Caenorhabditis elegans: one gene and its partner. The protein of the gene in region 1 interacts with the protein of each later gene in a pairwise test. Each region holds a gene or a part of one and is shown in the gene's direction. Other genes may lie near its edges.

Evidence for each region.
Region 2: the proteins of pei-2 (region 1) and szy-2 interact in a two-hybrid assay, tested with the Caenorhabditis elegans proteins (one large-scale study listed by BioGRID).

Annotation. Positions count from the first base shown.
Region 1 is NC_003283.11:1,017,620-1,025,072, reverse strand, and holds pei-2 (BTB domain-containing protein), read left to right. Parts: upstream 1-1,605; 5' UTR 1,606-2,029; intron 2,030-2,299; 5' UTR 2,300-2,313; coding exon 2,314-2,375; intron 2,376-2,510; coding exon 2,511-2,772; intron 2,773-2,819; coding exon 2,820-2,975; intron 2,976-4,094; coding exon 4,095-4,469; intron 4,470-5,096; coding exon 5,097-5,152; intron 5,153-5,601; coding exon 5,602-5,676; intron 5,677-6,456; coding exon 6,457-6,510; intron 6,511-6,567; coding exon 6,568-6,673; 3' UTR 6,674-6,737; downstream 6,738-7,453. Other genes in the region: R09A1.3 (UPF0496 protein), read left to right, coding at 440-733, 1,130-1,231; Piwi-like protein ergo-1, read right to left, coding at 7,000-7,102.
Region 2 is NC_003281.10:5,368,405-5,373,176, reverse strand, and holds szy-2 (Protein phosphatase inhibitor 2), read left to right. Parts: upstream 1-1,900; 5' UTR 1,901-1,905; coding exon 1,906-2,127; intron 2,128-2,815; coding exon 2,816-2,968; intron 2,969-3,020; coding exon 3,021-3,087; intron 3,088-3,854; coding exon 3,855-3,994; 3' UTR 3,995-4,211; downstream 4,212-4,772.

The DNA of each region.
Region 1 (7,453 bases):
TACTGTAGTGGTACTGTAGGAGTACTGTAGTGGTACTGTGGGAGTACTGTAGTTTTTACTCTAGGATTACAAGAAATATTAGAAACTTCCTGCAAAATCTGGGAATGATGGAAAAAGTTTTGTACATTTTTGGAATTTTTTTAAATCTATACAAACCTAAAATAAAACCTGAACCTGAAGTAAAACGTCTTCGAAAAGTCTGAGAAATTAAGAAAAAAAAATCTAAGAGCTTTCTAATAAATTTTTGGACTTTAGGAAATTTTTTTGAAACTTTGAAACATGTTGCATTTACGGAAAAACCTGAAGTTTTTGAAAATATATAATCTGAAAAGTTCAACAAAAAATATTTTTTCAAATTTTTCGAAAAGTCTTTACTGTAGCAAAACATCTGCAAGCTACTGTAATAGTACCGTAATCTTCCATTTAATTCCATTTTCAGTCCCTTCATACCACAACCGAAGGCGACGAGACTCGAGATATTGGATCAGGTGAAAATATTCCAGCAGTGGATGTTGGGTCATTAAAGGATAACATTACAAAAGTATTCGAAATGGTCGAAAACATGCTAAAATACATCGATAAAAAGACAGAACGACGTTGGTGGCTCCGAGATGTCATAAATTTCACTCAAGCCGCTGTCAAAGTCGCCTTATTCATAAGTGCTGCGATTTCAGTGGCTTATCACGAAAATCAAATTGCGCCGATTATTACGTTGGTGATTACTGTAATTCAGGTAGGTCAAAGTGAAAAGAAAATAAAAAAGCAAAAAATTTCGAAAAAGTCGTATTGACAATCAAAAAGCGGCAATTACTGAGTTTCTGTCACTTTTTGAGAAACTTAGTACTGTACTACTAGTACTACTATTACAACTACAGTAATACTGTACTACTGTAGTACTGTAGTACAGTAGTACAATACTACCGGAGTACTATAATGCCGTAGGATTACTCAAAAGATTCTAGCACATTCCATAATTTTCTCGGATTTTCCAAAAGATTCTAGAAGTCTCCAAAGGTTTAACTAAGTTTTCAGAAGGTTTTTTGAATTTCACGCAAAAAAGTATTTTCTCAGAAAATTTGAAATCCCGTCAAAATTGAATTTCCACATTGAATAATATGATTTTTTGCAGGGAATAACCGAAGGATTCGATCAGTACTTTCTCAAGAACAAGAGCCCAGATGACATCCATATTTCTGTACTCACGAATACCATGAATAATTTGAAAAGTTGAAGAAAATTAATTTGATATCCATGATTTTGTTTTTGACCATGAGTAAAATGTGTAACGCAATTCATAGAATTTTTCTATTGTTGCAACAAACAAATTAAAATACCTAAAATATTCCTTGATCTACAAAAAATGCGGGAATTTATTGCCTAAAAAGTGTGACGTCAGCACGTTCTTAACCATGCGAAATTAGTCGAAAACGCTGCGTCTCATTCTCCCGCATTTTTTGTAGATCTACGTAGATCAAACCGAAGTGAGATACTCTGGCACCTTATCAAGTTTTCTCAACGCTAATATGCCTGAAAATTTAAAAAAAACCATAAGTCGTAATAAAAATCGGTGGCCGAGTGTTCAACTTTCGCGGCCACGAATTCTCATCGACTTTTCTTAGTTTGCGATAAAAATATATTTATTAATTCAAAAAACTTCAAAAAATCGATAAAAATCGCGCGGACACGAAAGTTTCAAATTATAGTACTCTTTAAAGGCGCACACCTGTTTTGCAATTTGAAAATTGTCGTTTCGAGACCGGGTACCGTATTTTGCCGCAAAATTACAAAACTTTGCGCGGCTGAATAAAATTTAAAATTTAAATTTAATAAATCAGAAAATCAATAAACGTGTGCCATCTTTTTTTTGTGGAAAAATCTACGCAATTTTAAGTGATTAGTTTTTTTTCTTTAAATTATATTTATTTTACGCAATAAAAAAAAAGAAGCTATTAATAATATTCACGTACGAAATTCTGTCATTTCTCAATAATCCTAAGCGGATTTTAATAGGCGGTCGAATATATCAAAAGTGAGTTTGTGTCTGGGAGTGGGTTCATGCCACGTGGCCGCGAAAAGAGAAAACTCGGCCACCACAAGAAATTAGCAAGTGGCCGGTAAAAAACCTTGGCCACTGCGGCCATGTTTTAAGATTCCAGTCGAAATGAAAACCGCGATCAATTATTGCTTTTTTTTTGATTATCAACTTTTTAACCAAAAAATTTTCGGCAATTTTTTGTTTGTAAATGGTGGCCGAGTTTTTTCTTCTCGCGGCCACGCATCGTTAACATTTTATTTCCAGAATATTCCGGCGAAATGAAAGATTCTTGCAAAGTCTCGAAATCCACAACAAACCATCGTATTGATATGAATAAAAGGTACGTAAATGTGCGCCAAATCTGGTGTGTACGCAATTCGTCTACCTGTTCGGTAGAGCGCATTTGCACTGTCAGAATACACCACATTTTACGCGCAAAATAAAACTCCATTAAAAACGCTTTTTAATTTTTCAGTCTTGATATAACCGCTGCCATTCACCATTTCGAATCGGTCTCCCAATTCCTTCGTGACGACTACTCGGGCGCCCGTGAACTTTGTGACGTCACTCTCCGCTTTGACGATGAATCGATTCCGGCACACTGGGTGATGCTCGCCGCCTACTCGCCTGCGTTCGCCGAAAAATTTCGAAAGCCCAATAAATGCTTCGTCTTGGAGATGCAACCGTTGGACAAGACCAGCGTGAAGCGGGTCTTGGATTATATCTACTTTGGCAAGGTAAGCTTTCCGCCTAGGCCTACCTCGTACCTACTTTAAGAATTCAGGTGACCTTCCGCCTGGCGACCCTTCACGAAGACTTGAAGGCTATCTCCTACTTTGAAATTGTCACGTTGCAAGAGGACGTTGAGAAGAGATTGGTGGAGCTGGCCAAGGGGAATTGTGTCGATGTGCTTAATTTGGTGACTGCTAACTTGAAAACTGTAAGTTTTTGAGACGGTGGTGCTGATAATGAGAAGCACGCCCGCCGGCTTTTCGCCCTGAACAAGCCTCTCTGAAAATATTGATTTTTTTTAATACGACTACCGGGCGATGAGCAGCTGGCAAATAGCTGGTCGATAACTTTCCTCTAACTACTACTATCGACCTCTAACTACTACTATCGACCTGTAGGTTGAACGATAGCGGCCTGTAGTGGGCGGTAGTGGCGGCAGCGGCGGCAGAGGGAGAGTTGCGGGCGGTAGATGGCGGTATTCGGCGGTAGCTGGCGTTAGCTGTCGGTAGCGGGCTGTAGTGGGCGGTAGCGGTGGCAACGGCGACAGAGGGAGAGTTGCGGGCGGTAGATGGCGGTATTCGGCGGTAGCGGGCGTTAGCTGTCGGTAGCGGGCTGTAGCGGGGGGTTGCAGGCGGTAGCGGGAGGTAGCGGGTAGTAGCGGCCGGTTAGCGGCCGGTAGCTGGCGGAAGCGGGCGGTAGCGGGCTGTAGCTGGCTGTAGAGGGCAAGTAGAGGGCAGTAGCTGCCGGTAGCTGCCGGTAGCGGCCGGTAGCGGGCGGTAGCGGGCAAGTAGCGGCCGACTAACAACCGGTAGCGGCGGTGACGAGCGGTAGCGGGCTGTAGCGGTCGGTAGCGGGCGGCAGCGGGCGGTAGTGGGCGGTAACGGGTGGTTGTTGACGGCGCATCCCACTGCGCCAGCGCACACAAATACGCGCCGCCGCTGGCGCCGGCGGATTTTTTAAAGTTTCCACGCGTGGCTTCCAAACAGTCGGTATAAACGCAGTTTGCCGGCGGCGGTAACCGTTTTTCGCAGCCGCCGGCGCACCCTACTGCGCCATTGCAAATTTTATTTGCTTGCGCCGGCGGCGGCAGCTCACACAAATAGGCACTGCCGCCGGCGTCGGCGCATATTTCATTTTTTTTAATTTCCACGCGTGGCTTCCAAACGGTAAAAACGCAGTTCGCCGCCGCCGGCGCACCGAGTTGCGCGCAGCCATCAAATCTCTGTCATTTTTCGAGCGGCCGGTAGCTGGCGGTAGCGGGCGGTACCGGACTAGTACAGGGCAAATAGCAGACAAGTATTTTTTTTTTAATAACTTTTTTTTCCAGATCCCGCATTCTCCATCTACGATTCTATTGATTTCCGATGAAAGTGTCCGCGATATCGTCTCGATCCTTCACGACACATACTCGACCAATCGCCTGTCCTACGAAGAAATTCTGAGCCTGTCGACGAACACGGTGATCACATGTCTGTCGGCACGAATTCCGGACTTTAAGAAGGTCGACATCATCAATATGTCGTTGAAGTGGATCTACGAGCGTCATCTCAACGATCACAAGGCGTGCAAGATTCTGCAAGGTCTGACGCTCGGCTCGATGACCTACGCGGAGCTGGTGAATTTGCGAAATTCGTTGATTCAAACCGCGATTCCTGTGACAATCGGAAGATGTGTTCGTTTGAAGCGTCGGGAGAACGATACGGTGAGCTTGGTCTCAACACTGTGACGTCACACCGGACGTGAAATTTTGAAATTTTCGCACCAAAAAAATACGGTACCGGGTCTTGACACGACAAATTTTCACGACGCGCTTCCGGCTTTCCTCATAAACTGAAATGTAAGAGTTTTGCCGAATTAGGCCACGTTGACTCGGCCATGGCCGGTGTCGATTTACGGCGCGTTGCGTGCCGCGTCGCGGCTCGTTTAGTTGTAAAACTAAATGTATTTGTCCGTGTGGATTACACGATTTTCCAACGCTTTGTCCGTCAGATTGTCAATGGAGCGCGAAAAATGCAATGAGGAAGGCCAGAAGTCCTTGACAAAAAGGTATGCACCTTTAATTTAATGAGTACTGTAGTTTCTCTTGTTGGAATTTTCATCCATTATTAAAAATGTTCGTGTTTTCTTCAAGTTTTTCAATAAATAAGCTAATTTTCAACAAAAAACTATGAAAAATCGATAAAATCTTGTGGCCGCGAAATTTTGTAACTACAGTACTGTTTAAAGGCGCACACCCTCTCGCGTCGAACAAAAGTATGTCGTGTCAAGACCGGGTATCGTATTTTTAGCGCGAATAGTCATATTCCATATAATTTATTAATTTTTGCAGCTCGACATTGTGTTCACCTACGGCGAATCTTCAGGATATCAGAAACCGGGCATCAAGTGAGTAAATTTTAGACTTGCTATTACACAGAAGCTAAAATTAAAGTGCCAGGTCTCGACACGACAAATTTCCAGGGTGTGCGGGGTGTGCGCCTTTAGAGAAGTGTACTTGTTGGAAATGTTATCGATTTTTCTTGGTTTTTCGAAGAAAAAAATATTAATTTACAACATAACATGAAAAACACTTAATTTTTAACAAATCGTGAAAAAAAAACTTGAAAAATCGATAAAAATTTCACAAAAATAAGAGCTCGAAATTACTGTACTCTTTAAAGGCGCACACCTTTTCGCATTTAACACAAAATTTGTCGTGTCGAGACCAGGTCCGTATTTTTGGAGCGAAAATCGCAAACTTTCGCGCCAGGGTAATAATTGGAGTACTCTTTCGCGCTTTACCGCACTGCGCCTCGATTTGGTGGAATGCATAATAAAACTAGAATATTTTTCAGGCCAACGATCACATCCTCGTTCACCATGAATAATGACCCAACGTCTGGCGCCGGGACACCATCTACGAAGACTAGGTGAGTTTGTGTAGTTTGTAGCCACGACGACACACAAAATTTTGATAAATGCGAAAAAGGTGTGCGCCTTTAAAGATTACTGTAATTTCAATTTTTTTAGAATTTTTATCGATTTTTCAGAGTTGAATTTGAGTGTTTTTGTCAAAAAACTATGAAAAATGGACGAAAATCCCGCTGAGAGGAAAGTTTAAAGTTACAGTACTTTACAGGCGCACACCTTTTCGCAAATAACAACAAAAATTTGCCGTGTCGAGACCTCGTACAGTATTATTGACGCGAAAACCGCAAAATTTCGCAAGAGAACAGTACAAGACGGTGCGAAAAGGTGTGCGCCTTTAAAGAGTACTGTATTTTCAATTTTTCGTATTTTTATCGATTTTTCAGAGTTTTTCCAAGAACATTTTTAATTTTAATGTATTCTTAACTGTCAAATTTGAGTTTTTATCCAAAAACAGCGATAAGTGACGAAAATTTCACAAATTAAAATTCCAGTACACTTTTTTAAAGGCGCATATACATTTTCGCAAATAACAACGAAATTTTCGTTTCAAGACCTCGTACAGTATTTTTTGGGGCGAAGACTGCAAAATTTCGCGTCTGGGACTGTTATTACAGAACAAGAAAAAAATGGAAATTACTATCTTAAAGGCGCATACCCTTTTCCGCAGGGTTTTTTGAAAAAAATTCAAATTTTTTCGCTCGTGTCGAGACCCGGAAAACCGGAAAATTTCACGTCTCGACAATAAAAACGCCTAAAAAATTCAAATTTTAAATTTTCAGTCGTTCCCCAAGCAACAAGTTCGACGATGCAATCTCCGAGTCTTGGAACGTCAAGTAAGCACTGCCACGTGGCATTTATCGATTTTTTTTTCTTCAAATTTTTTTTTCCAGTCTCGATGATTGCAACACGGCCATGTCGTTCAACGACGAAGACCTGAAACGTCTTGGAATCGAAAAATCGAAGAAGATGAAGAAGAAGGAGCAGGAAGAGATGTAGTAGTAGTAGTAGTAGTAGATAATTTGTTGATTGAAAAAGAATGAATGAACTGCTTGGGGGTTTATTATTATTGTTGTGGCAAATTTTAAAACTTTTGTGGGATTAGGGGCAAGTGAGAATCCGAGAATTTGAAATTTGAAATATGGAACAAGAAATAAGCAATTTCGGGGCAATTTAAAGTGTAAAAGTAAAGGAATAGTTGAGAAAATTGGGAAAATGATGTCGAAATACTTGTACATTTTAGTTGATTAAAGGTTGGTTGTTAGGGTAAATATAATAAAGAACGTGAAAAATGGAACAGTTGATTGAAATCATTAAGAAACATATTAGACAAATGTCATTCCTTCGAGCTTTTCGTTGACATTCATGTCCTTGTTGACTTCGCAGAGGTCTCCGAATGATTCGAGGTCGCAGTAGATATTATTTACTCTGAAAAAATATTATGATATTATGAGATTTCGAATGTTTTTTTTTCTATTAATTTCGAAAACTTTTTTGGGACAAGTGTAAATATTCAAAAATGTTTCAAAAAATTTAGGAATTTTGCAATTTTTTTTGAAAGTTTTTCCATAAATGAATATTCCTTAAAAATGTATTGTAAATCTCGGGAAATTTGAAATTTCTGAAAAATTTTTTTTTGTTTTGGCGGGAAATTCAGATTCTCGGATAAAAATTCGGCGTAAATTCAAGGAGGAAAAAAAGGAAAAAATTTAGGAAAAGCGTTTTTTCCGTCAACTAACGAAATTGCCGGAAATGTTGAAAATCGGTAAATGCCGAAAA
Region 2 (4,772 bases), on another chromosome or scaffold:
AAAAGAGAGAGAGAAAGAGGACAGGCGGCAAACCAAACAAGTTTACGTACAGTCCTGACTGTGTCAATACTCTTGGCTGGCGTCTCCCCTTGTGATGTCACTCACAAGTCAGTTGACCCTTCCGGAGTGTGTGGGGGATCTCTATCAGATTCTTCTGAGCTTTCTCTCGTTTTGTCAATTTTTTTCAGCTGCCTGCTGGCTTCGACGAAAAATGTTCTTCCCCCTATGGCCTTGCTTCTTTTTTCGCTTGAACGCTCTCTCAGAGAGCCCCACAGGCTGAGGAGAGGCGCCAATTGCATTATTGGCTCTTCGTTGGCTCTAGCCGCCTTAGACGGAGAATAAAATGCGGCCACCCAAGAGTTTTTTGGACTCGTTACTCTTCTTCCAACTTGTTTTCACTCATTCTATTCTTCCATTTGTCAAAAAAACATTTGTGCGTGAAGAATGTTTTCTTTAAGGTGACCTACCACTTTCGAGGCTCTAAATAGTCATATTATTAGTTAGAATATGACTGAAAATACGAAAAATTAGATTAAAAACACTTTGGTAGCCAATATATGGGCGGAGTCTCTTTTTGGAATTTTCTTGCCGTCGTGCCATTTCATTTCAAATTTGATTTTGATGTTTTTGAAATCTCAAACTGAAATTGCTAGTTCTAGGCTGCAATTATCTGAAATTACTCAATATATTTTGCTGAGCTTGAAAGTTTTGATAAATAATTGCTCCCAACCCACCCACTCACTATAATTGTTACTTTATATTTAAAAATTAGTTTAAATATTAAACTTATTGATGTCCTTTCTTGGACTCAATTTTTCTGAAGTGTCAGTTCTTCGCACCCTTATTTCTTTTTTTTTTCTTCAGAAATGTACTAGTACGTGCTTTAGAAATTTATAAAAGTAATCATTTACATAACTTTCAAATATTTTTTTGATGAATAAAATTAATTTTTAAGAACTTTAGTTCAAAAAATCATTAAAATGGTGTAATATTTCGACGAACCAGGCACTAGAAATTATTATTTTCTCTAAGACCTAGACTTACTTTTTTGCAGATTTAGAACATTTTGACCTGATTTTTTAATTTTGACCGAGAGAAAAATATTTTTTTAAAAATATATATGGTAGGGCTTCGATTTCTCTTTTTCATGCCACATTCAACATTTTTCAAATTATTTTTTTCTATTTTCGACATCATCTTTCGGTTTTTAACCAACCGGATAATATATCAAAAGCTGACCAAAAAGATAATTACGTTGTTGATCACCAACTACTGATCACTGAGGGAATATAAAATATATGAAAATACATAATTTGGTGATTCAATCATTCGAAGTTCTGATCATTTAGTGAAAAAAAGGTTTCTTTCGCAAATATTCGAGAGCTCAATGCTAAAAAAAAAGACGAAAAGTATGCAAAGTCATTAATCATGTAGGATCTACTAGCTTCTCTTGACTCTTTTCTCTGCAACAATCACATCTTTGTTCCGCGCAAAAAAGGCGAGTAGCCAGTTTTTTCGTTTCTAATTAATTTCCTTTTAGATTACAGCTCGCATGCTTTTACTTTTTCACCACGCTGTGTCTCTAGCTATTTCAGTCGTGTTTACGGGAATATATATGGAAAAGAATTATTGATGTATTTTAGATTATCCAATAGTTTAAGTGATGAGGAAAAAATAATCTACAAAGATAAATTAGCAAAAAAACATTTTATGTTTGATTTCGAAAATATTTGAAAAAAACATTCTTAAGTTTTTGAGAAACTTTAAAAACTTTTTATGACAAGTACCTCTAAATAGTAATTTGATAACTAACGTTTCAAAACGATTTCTTTTTGCTTTGCTTTTTTTACCTATTCACTTTTTCGAACCTAGTTAAAAAATAAATTCTCCATCTATTTTCAGAAAATGGCATCACCCTCCGCTTCTGCAGACGACGTCAAACTGACAGCCGATGGAAAGATTTGTCTTGATGATCCAGCCGAGTTTCTGAAAAGAAAGCCAAAGAAGAGTATTCTTAAGATGAAACAAGACTCATCGCTTGAGGGCAAAGATGGTCGTGCACATTTTGATGAAATGAATATTCTTGCCACTTATCATCCAACTGACAAGGATTATGGAAGCATGAAGGTTATTTTTTTTAGCATGTGCTTTCTTTTGTGGCTGCAAAAAATATTTCCTTCTTCCTCAAGAGGGACCCTTAAAAAAACAATTTGGATGAAATATGGGAATTTTTTGGGAAAAAAACGTCCTCGAAAAGTTTTTCAACTAAAAAATTGAAACAAAAAAAATGAAATTGGGAAAAATAACTTTGTTTTTTTACATCTAAACAAAATTTCCTTCAGAAAACTACCTTTTTATTAGTTTTTTAAACAAAAAACCGAACTTTTTTCATTGAAAAGGACTTTGAATAATAATGAACAAATATTGTTAAAAAACACCTCAAAACTGAAAATTATCGAAAATATATGATTTAAAAAACGTCTAATTTTTTTTTGTTGAAAATATAGTTAATTTTATTACAGCTTTTTTCCCAAAAAAAAGTTAATTCAAATGCGAATTCACACTAAAAAGTAATTATAGAATAAGCGAAATAAAAAGTTATTAAAAATTCAAGAGTTTTTAGAAAGTTACAATGAAAAATTATGAAAGGATTTTCCGACAGTCAATCATTTTGATTTTTTTTCTAGAATTATTAGCTTTTAACGTATTTTTCCCATGAACGTTTGTTTTAATTATTTGACTTTAAATTGTTTCAACATATTCAGATTGCTATTAAATTTTATTTTGCCATTTTCAAAAACTTTGAATTTTGCAGATTGATGAACCAAAGACCCCATATCATCATTCAGATGGTGAAAGTGAATGTGATGAAGGAGTACTTGGAGTACCAACAACTCGACCACGACGAGTATCACTCGGAAATGCCATTGACCCAGAAAAAGTGGCCGAAGGACTTGCTCATCCGGAGGTTTTAGAGCTCTTTATGTGTTCTCTCATTTATTTTTCATTTATTTTTCCAGAGTGGAAAATCACTTTCTTCCGCTGAAGATTCCGAGGACGAGGCTGATTTGACAGAGGAACAACGTGGTACGGAATTGAAAATTGAAGAAAAATACATTTTAGTTGAAATATTAAAAAAAAGTATATTAAAAATCAAAATTTATAAGAAATTCACAAAAATATTCTAAAAATTGTAAATTAAAAATCCTTTTAAAAACCGATTTTTATTATTTAAAGAAATTGTCTAGTAATTTCGAGCAAAAAATTTTGTGAAATTAAAAAAAAACTTATTTGGACAGCTTTTGTCTTCAAAGATTTTTAAAAAATAGTTATTTCTGATTAAAAAAATTATAAAGGAAAAATTCCAGAAAAATCAGTTTAATGATATAATACAGTTGAAAAATTGGTTTTTCTTAGAAATTTTTTTAAAAATTTTGTCAACAAAAAATTTAGAAAAATTGTTGAATTTTTTCAAAAATCTTATTTTTGAGTTTAAAAATGTTTAATTTGGAAACATAATCGAATTCTTTGAAAAAATCTAGATTTTATAAATATAAAAAGGTCAAATCTCAATATTATCATTTTTCAACATAATTTAAATTTTAAAAAATCGTTTTTTTCTCTAAACTGATCATAAAAATTGGCTCAGTTTTTTTTTAATCTAAAATCTTCCATTTACTAATGATATTATTTTCAAAATTTTTAAAAAATTATTTATTTTAGGAATGTAATCAATTTTGATGGGTTTCCTAGAAAAAAAACTAGATTCACTGAACATTTTGATATTTGTCATTTCAATTTTTTTTAAATCGAAGCGTACAAAATTTCCATAATTTAAAACACGACTCTTACAGCTCACCGTCGCGATTTCGAGAAGAAACGACGTGCTCATTATAACGAGGGAGCTGCTCTGAAGCATCATCCAGAACTCGAAGATGATGAAGAAGAAGCTACTGCTGCTGCTGCTGGTGCCGGTGGAAATATGGAACACTAGCAAATACATTAAATGCCGTGTGCAATCATATATTTTTGTTTTTCCTTTGAATTGCTCTCTTTCTCATTTTTTTCAAAGTTTCCACCAAAAAATCTGAATTCTTGTATAAAATCCTTTTCCCCCGTAAGCGAATTTATTTATTATTTGTTCTCTCAATTTCTCAATTTTCCCTACTATATTTTTCAAGTTTTCGAAATGAATATCGAATGATCCATGAGTTTTCTTACTATTAGATTTTGAAATTTTCAAAAATTGTCTAATTATATTTTGTCAGACGATTCTAATACTGAAAATTTTGAAAACAAAAATGTTTTTTACCCCGCTGCGAAATACTACGATTTGCGCTCTAAAAATACGTTACCCGGTCTCAAAGCGATCGATTTTCTTAAACGCAGAAAAGTGTGCGCCTTTAGTAGTACTGTAGTTTCCAAAAATGTGAAAATATTACACCTAATTTTGAAGAAATAGGAGAAAAGCTAGAAAAAATCGAAGAAAATCCCGCAACAACGAAAAGTTATCAACTACAGTACTCTCTTATGAATTCAGAAAAATCGATCGCTTCGAGATCGCTACATTGTTTTTGAAACAAAAATCGCAGAATATTGCATAATTAATAGTTTTTTTTTTCGAAATTGTTAATTCTATTTCTAATAATATTTGATGTAACACAGTCCAATATTTTCATCATTTTTGAGACACAAAAAGGTCAACATTAATTGTCATCACGGCCGTTCACTACAAATACACGTAGACTACATTATAGCCTATCTCTTGCTGT